2 linked regions of the Coturnix japonica genome follow. The protein of the gene in region 1 interacts with the protein of each later gene in a pairwise test. Links are inferred from orthologs where the notes say so. Each region holds a gene or a part of one and is shown on either strand. Other genes may lie near its edges.

What was found.
Region 2: the proteins of NUP58 (region 1) and MIS18A interact in binary tests that used the Homo sapiens proteins (3 or more experiments, as listed by UniProt). The link is inferred for Coturnix japonica from reciprocal best matches to the Homo sapiens genes NUP58 and MIS18A.

The regions. Positions count from the first base shown.
Region 1 is NC_029516.1:158,396,917-158,400,827, reverse strand, and holds the start of NUP58 (nucleoporin p58/p45), read left to right. Parts: upstream 1-1,320; 5' UTR 1,321-1,543; coding exon 1,544-1,659; intron 1,660-3,911. UniProt on the Homo sapiens protein: Component of the nuclear pore complex, a complex required for the trafficking across the nuclear membrane.
Region 2 is NC_029516.1:94,345,516-94,349,426, reverse strand, and holds MIS18A (protein Mis18-alpha), read left to right. Parts: upstream 1-1,141; 5' UTR 1,142-1,219; coding exon 1,220-1,469; intron 1,470-1,544; coding exon 1,545-1,611; intron 1,612-1,708; coding exon 1,709-1,831; intron 1,832-2,854; coding exon 2,855-2,948; intron 2,949-3,044; coding exon 3,045-3,125; 3' UTR 3,126-3,716; downstream 3,717-3,911. UniProt on the Homo sapiens protein: Required for recruitment of CENPA to centromeres and normal chromosome segregation during mitosis.

The sequences.
Region 1 (3,911 bases):
AATCAGAATCAGTGTGGGTCACAGAATCACAGAATCACAGAATGACCCGGGTTGGAAGGGACCTCAAGGATCATGTAGTTCCAACCCCCCTGCCTGGCAGGGCCACCAAACATACACATTTACTAGATCAGGTTGCCCAGGGCCCCATCCAGCCTGGTCTTGAACACCTCCAAGGACGGGGCATCCACAACCTCCCTGGGCAGCCTGTTCCAGGGCCTAACCACTCTCCTAGTGAAGAACTTCCCCCTAACATCCAACCTAAATCTTCCCTCTTTTAACTTAAAACCATTTCCCCTAGTCCTGCTATTGTCAGCCCTTTCGAAGAGTTTACTCCCCTCCTGGGAGTAAGTTCCCTTCAGGTATTGAAAGGCTGCAAATCTTGTAAATGGGTTGGAAAAGATCATCCAGTCCAGCCTTAACTCAAACCCTGACACCCACATTCCACATCAGTCAGTTCTGCACCCACACAGTACTGAACGCCTCCAGGTTCGGTGGCTGCACCGCCTCCATGGGCAGCCTGTGCCACTGCCTCACTGCTTCGTCTGAGAAGTTTTTCCTACCTTCGTCAAACACTTGGTTTTCAAATGATTCAGGGAGGTAATTGTCCCCCTGTACTCAGCACTGGTGAGGCCGCACCTCAAGTACTGTGTTCAGTTTTGGGCCCCTCACTGCAAGAAAGACATTGAGGCCCTGGAACGTGTTCAGAGGAGGGCAACAAAGCTTGTGAGGGGTCTGGAGCCTTATGAGGAGCGGCTGAGGGAGCTGGGATTGTTCAGCCTGGAGAAGAGGAAGCTCAGGGGAGACCTTATTACTCTCTGTAACTTCCGGAAGGGAGGTTGTAGTGAGCTGGGGGTTGGCCTCTTCTCTCGCGTAATCAGTGATAGAACTAGAGGGAATGGTTTTAAGCTGCGCCAGGGGAGATTCAGGCTGGACATTAGGTAGTATTACTTCTCGGAAAGGGTAGTCAGGCACTGGAATGCACTGCCCAGGGAGGTGGTGGAGTCACCAACCATGGGAGTGTTCAAGAAACGTTTGGATATTGTGTTTATGAATATGATTTAGCCGGGAAGTATTGGTAATGGTTGGACTAGATGATCTTCTAGGTCTTTTCCAACCTTGATAATTCTGTGATTCTGTGATTGGGTGACGATGCCCACAGGCCTTCAGAGGGTATTAATATAATGTCCTAATATAATATAACGACTCCCGTTTCCCGTTAACACCTATAACAATAGCAGACTGCTGCCCATCCATCCTCCACGCTCAGTGCCGTGCACCCGTCGGGTCGCTGTCGCTTTAAGATCGGGCTGTGGCGGTGCCTCCATCCCGTGGTGCGTAGCGCGGTGCGCGCGTAGTGCTGTGCTGCGTGGTTGCCCGGTTGCTCGGTCTCTCGGTGTCTGGCCGCGTTCCTCCCGCTGGATCCGCTCCGTGCCGCCATGTGGCGCTGAGGCCCCGCCCGCCTCGGGAGCCCCCGTCGCCCCGCCGAGACCCCGCCGCCGCCTGACGCCGTTCCTCAGCTCCGCTCCGCTCAGTTCCCGCCGCCATGTCTGCGGGCTTCTCGTTCGGCGCGGGCACCCTGGGCTCCGCAGCTGCTGCTGCCGCCGGGGCTGGAGGAGGAGGCGGGGGCGGCGGGTTCTCGTTCGGCACCACCGCACCGAGGTAACGCGGCCCTTCTCCCCTCAATCCCTATCGGCTGGGCCCTGCCGCCGGCCTCCCCTACCGGCCCGGCCTGCGTAGGCCTCGGGGTGGGCGGTCGGCAGGCGGCTCTACGCTTGGGTCTCTTGGCGCTTTTCCGGCCTCTCCATGCGGCCTCAGTCCCGGCCCTGCCCTCAGGTGGGATCACGGTGTCCGCACGGCCCCGGGTGCCGCGGGGCTCCGTCCGTGCCGCTGTTGTGTGCCGACCACGCGTGGCTCTGCTAAAGGCCCCGCTTAGCGCTCAGGGGTCTCTTGGAGGTGTCTCAGAGGCACCTTGGAGGTGTTCAAGACCAGGTTGGACGGGGCCCTGGGCAACCTGATCTAGTAAAGGTGTATGTTTGGTGGCCCTGCCAGGCAGGGGGGTTGGAACTACATGATCCTTGAGGTCCCTTCCAACCCGGGTCATTCTGTGATTCATTCTGTGATTCTGTGAGTCAAGTTTGAGTTTCAGGGTTGTTTTTCTTTTCCATATATGTGCGTACAGGTGTGTTAGTGCCACTGTTTCTTCTGATTTTCTTGCTGCTGTGCTTTTACTGGAAGGAAGCCTGTTCCAGTGGAGCTTTCTCAGAACTTTGGAGCTCTTCCCAAATCTGATGGTGCCAAACTAGTTGTTAGAAGTGAAGCTACTCAGGACATCAATCTCAAATGGGTGTGATTCACAATGCGTGCCCCCAAGCATTGGCAGGAATTAGCAGGGACATGGGATCATCACAGAATAGTTTGTTTGATCTCTTTTAAGGGTCCCTTCCATCAGCCACGAGCATTTTCTGGAGATTGATGGCCCTCCTTGTGGGGGGGGTTGGAACTTTATGATCCTTAAATGTACAACTATAATTGAGAACTTCTTTCATCTGATTGATGCAAGTTTCCTGTAGCATTTAAACGTTTATATAAGCGTTTATTTTTTGCTATTCTATCGAACTTTTCTTAGACTACTTAAAAAAAAAAAGAGTAAATATATCATACGTGCCAATAATATATAATATCTAAAATAATAGCAAAGATGTACTTGGCATTTTTGTTTATATCTTTATTTCCATGAGTAGGATGAGTTGATCTCTGCAGAGCTGAAAGCATTATTGCCAGGTGTTGGGGGAAAGGGGACTTTATTCTGTTGTCTAATCATAGGTTGTTATGGATCACTGTGATCAGTCACAGTTTATATTCTTGTGTCTAAAGGAGTACGGCATGGCAGCCTATGTAATTCCTGTGTGCTACATATTCAGCTTTATACAGGTATGGTGCTTTGTGAGGCGCTTGTTGCCCAAGTGAGTTGTGGATGCCACATCCCTGAATCATAGAATCATAGAATTACCGAGGCTGGAAAAGACCTTGAAGACCATCAAGTCCAACCGCAGCCTAACCAGTACCCTAACTCTAAAAACCCTCCACTAAATCATATCCCTGAGCACCACATCCAAACGGCTCTTAAACACAACCAGGGATGGCGATTCAACCACCTCCCTGGGCAGCCTATTCCAGTGTTTAACTACCCTTTCTGTAAAGAAATTCTTTCTAATATCCAACCTAAACTTGCCTTGGCGCAACTTGAGGCCATTTCCCCTTGTCCCATCATTTGTCACTAGTGAGAAGGGACTTGCCCCACTCTCAGTGAAGGTGTTCAAGGCTGGATTGGATGGGGCCCTGGGCAGCCTGATATAGTGGGTGGCAGCCCTGCCCATTGCAGGGCTGGATCTGGATGAGCTGTGTAAGGTCCCTTCCAGTCTAAGCCTTTCTGTGTTTTGCTCTAGCTCCAAAGTTAGAGTTTTCCCTTAGGGCCACCACGCCGAGGTAATGCCTTCCATCTGTGGGCAGTAGGAAATAAACCCTGTGATCTGTGCTTTTCCATGCTGCCACTGGTTTGCCTTTGTTTTGGCTTAGTTAAACTTGTTCATTTTTCAGTTTCTCTGTTGATGCTGTTGTTTGGTTTTTTGTTTTCCCCATAGTGCTGAGCACTTGTTAGATATAGGAGCTGTGCTCATACTGAAAGTGAGGAGGTGAGGGAATAAAGAGAGGATATTAAACATATGACACTTAATCTGTGAAGATTGTTACGTTGAAGTCTAAACTGTGCTTTATTTCATTGCTGCTGTTGTACGCTGTGCCAGATGTCTCAACTGAAGGGAACTTGTGTAGTTTATCAAGAGACCAGCTTGTCTCTCTCCTTTCTTTCTTGTGTCTTCCATGTGAAAATAGCTCTGGGAATTAATTTCTTT
Region 2 (3,911 bases), about 64 Mb from region 1:
GCTCAAGGACTGCCTTGGTACTAACTAATGTTGAGCAAAAATGAATATTAATGCCTGACAGATAAATAGTAGCAGCCTTTAAGCGTAACCCTTGCTTCCTGGTGGGCAGTTACATTATTCCTCAGCATATCAGAGCTGAGATGGATGCCAAGTAAGCTAAGAATGGGATGGACAAGTGCCAGATGTGTCACAAACCCTTCTCTCTGAGAGACAGCTGCAATGAAGTGTTCTCTGGAGCTACTGGAAACAGCCAGCTGGGCTGAAGGAAATCTCTTTCTATTCACATAAAGGAGGGGGCAAGTACCTGACAAAATGCATCATAGACAGAGGATGCAACAAAGCTGATGAAAAGTCTGGAGCATAAAATCATAACAGGGAGTAGCTGAAGGAGCTGGGATTGTTCAGTCTGGAGAACAGGATGTCAGGGGAGACCTCACAGCTCTCTACAACTATCTGAAGAGAAGCTGTGACAAGGTGGGAGACAGCCTCTTCTCCCAGGCAATGGTGATGAGAAGAAATGGCCTCAAGTTGCACCAGGGGAGGTTCAGGTTGGGTGTTAGGAAGGATTTCTTGTCAGCAAGAGCAGTGCTGCAGTGGCACAGGCTGCCCAGGGAGGTGGTGCAGTCACCGTCCCTGGAGGTGTTCAAGAGCCGTGTGGATGTGGCACTGAGGGACGTGGGCAGTGGGCATGGGGGCCACAACGTAGGTAGAGCCAGCTGAAGGCTTGAGGTGTTGGGCCGTGGCAGCATAGCAAGTGGTACCTAAACGTGCTTAACTGAGCTGAGCAGCAAGGACAGCAGGCCCTCAGCTGGCTTTTGGCTGCATCCCTAAAGCCTTCAGTGCGTGTGGTGGCTGGGGAAGCCAGGGCCGCATCCCATAGCGCACAACGCACCAGTTTGGCTAAAAACAACTTTGAAACCAACCAAAGCCACTTTCTCTCTGCCTTCTCAGTGCTACGTCACCCAAACACCTCCTAACACACTCCAGCAGGGGTTATGAAGGCACAGCACTGAGCTAGACCAGCGCTGACACACAACCCCACCTCCTACGTCTACGCTAGTAACGTAACCACGCTGTGGGCAGGGACATGTACTAATCCCCGCCCCTGCTACGCTAGTTGCGTATGTACGCTGTGGGGCGTAGCCACGCACCGAACCCCGCCTCATGGACGCGACGTATTCGGGCTGGTTCCGGTTCCGTCGTGGGCAGTTTGAAGGTGATGGCGGGCTTGTTGTATCCGCTGTCAGGTGGGGCGGTTGCGCTGGATTCGTCTCTGCCTCTGCTCGAGTCGACCATCCCTCGGGAGGCGCTGCCGATGGAGCGACCGCGGGCTAACGGGAAAGGGGAGGAAGAGGAAAACGACGAGAACCTGCCCATGGTGTTCCTGTGCGGCGGCTGCAAGCGGCCTGTGGGAGATACGCTGAGTTGGGTGGCCAACGATGAGGACGCGACGTGTATTCTGCTGCGCAGTGAGTGCTGCTCCCATCTGCCCTCTCCTGCATGACGGCTTTTGGGGGCCCTTGGTCAGTGTTGGCTCTGTGCAGGTGCCTCCAGCAACATCTCAGTGGACAAGGAGCAGAAGCTGTCCAAAAGGCCTGGAGAGTGTGGATGGTGAGCGCTCTTCAAACCACAGTCGATAAAATACATGTGTATGTACTTTTAATAGGCGAAGGGAGGAGTGATTTGCTCTCTTTGTTTTTTTTTAAAGCATGGTTGAAACGTTTTCCTGCTCTGGCTGCTCGAGGGCACTTGGCAGCATCTACAGATGCACCCCAAAGCATCTCGACTACAAGAGGGATTTGTTTTGTTTCAACGTTGGCTCAATTGAAAGGTAAAGACAGAATCTGCATTGCTGTCGGGTTAACCTCACCTTCCAGACACCATATCAAGGGATGCTGCTGCTAACAGTCTGAGCAAGTTCCCTATGGTAGTTAGGTTTTGAGTATCTCTGGAGGAGACTCTACAGCCCCTCTATGCTGTTCATTCTGGTAGTCTGCCACTCTCATGGTAAGAAGCTTTTTCTCATGTTTGTATGGAGCATCCTGTCTTCCAGTTTGTGCATCTTGCCCTCCTGATAGGGCCAGGCTCTTTTCAGTGGTGCCCAACTGCTTGGCTCTGCCCTTTAGATATTTATAAGCTTTAATAAGATCGGTTCCCTCAGAATTCTCTTCTCTAGGCTGAATAGTCTCAGGATCTCAGCCCTTCTGGTCTTAAACTGTTCTTTGATGTTTGAGGATGTTGTTAAGTCTCCACATTAGAGTTCTGTCCGAAGTTTATTTAAAAATCTCAATCTTCAGAGCCATCTTAAAGGTGGAAGATTTTAAGTATCCAGACTAGAGATCTTTTATCCAAGTGTTGTTATAGTACTAGTGATAAGCTACTGTTACTTCCATGTGGGCTAGTTTTACTGTTTCTACTTCTATGTGAAGTTCCAGCCTGTTCTGCTGAACATACATGGGTGTTTTCCTTCCTACTCTGAACAGTCTTTTCTTCTTTACACAGCTAAATACTTTGGTTTTTGATGACAGTAAAAGTCTCTGGAAGACTATGACAGGGCTACAGAGCAGCATTCTCTTGGAGTAGTGATGATGTCTAGTTCTCCCATCTAGTGCTACACTAATCTTAATATCTGAATGACATCTTGGTTGTTTAGAGCTCAAAGCTGTTGAAGTTTTACCGTACAGCTCATTTGCAAGATTGCTAAAAATAGGGTTGTGTTATTGTTGTTGCCAAAATAGTGCTTTGACTGTGCTGGTGCATTAATTGCGATCTTATCAAGAGTGGCGGATGAATCATACAAGTGTTCTTTTGCCTTCAGAATGAAAAGTGCATCATCTAAACTGTAGCATATCAGTTACATTCTAGGATCCTCAGAAAAGCAGGCTGTTACTGATGAGGAACCTTTAACTCTCGAAAGTCGAGTTGCCTTGGAAGAAGCACTAAAAAGGGTAACGCTTAATCTTGCATTGTTTTGATGACATCTATACTTGTTCTTTATATTGTACACCTGTTTCTAACCAGGTCTTTCCCCATTTACTTCACAGGCAAACACCATACTAAATGCTCTGGAGGCAAGGCTGGCTACTGTTGAATCAAGAATCGATTCTCTTCACAGTAATGCTTGAAAGAAAATCCTGCGTGTAAAATAACTGCTGGAGATTGATGTGTGTGAAACTGGGATCTGTGGGAATATTTTAAAAGCTGCTCGAAGATCTGAAAGATGTGGGCAGTAGGACAATGCCAGCTACTGAGTCTTTGTCACAGATGAGGAGTTCCCCTTTTGTCTTGAGAGAATACCCTGGGAAGAAAAAGACTTCTAAAAAACATTTCAGTCAATTTGTTGTTTATATAGAAATATTTATTTTTTTTTACCTTGGAAAGCAAAGGTCTTATCTCCTGGTTGTCCTGTATTTTAATATCTGCTGAACTGAAGGCTTCAAATGCATCAGCTACTATGGCTTCCTGTGCAGTACTGAGAGTCACGCGTGTAACAGCCTCAAAGAGGAGAAGAAACAAGGCTACTAGCAGCACACCTTTTAATCAAAGTTAGGTGCATATTTGAACAAAGAATTCAGTGCTGCTTAAGAAACTTCTGTCAATATTTCATTGTTAACATGTAGATCTTACTGTTATGGTTTTCTGTATGTATGTCTTCCTAGCATTGTGTTGTTTTTTTTTTAATCCCCAATAAATCAAAGTAAGTGGTAATCGTGTAAGGGAAAAATCTGATTTCTGTTTATTTACATACCATTGCCCGATGCTACTTAATTGCATCACTGCTAATTTTTAAGTAGTCTCCAGAAACTTGGAATGAATTTTCCCACTGTTCTTCCTACTGGTAACTACCATTTCTCTTGAGAGCTCTCTTATTTTTCACTCTCTCTTCTCTCTTTTTTTATCTACCATTTCGT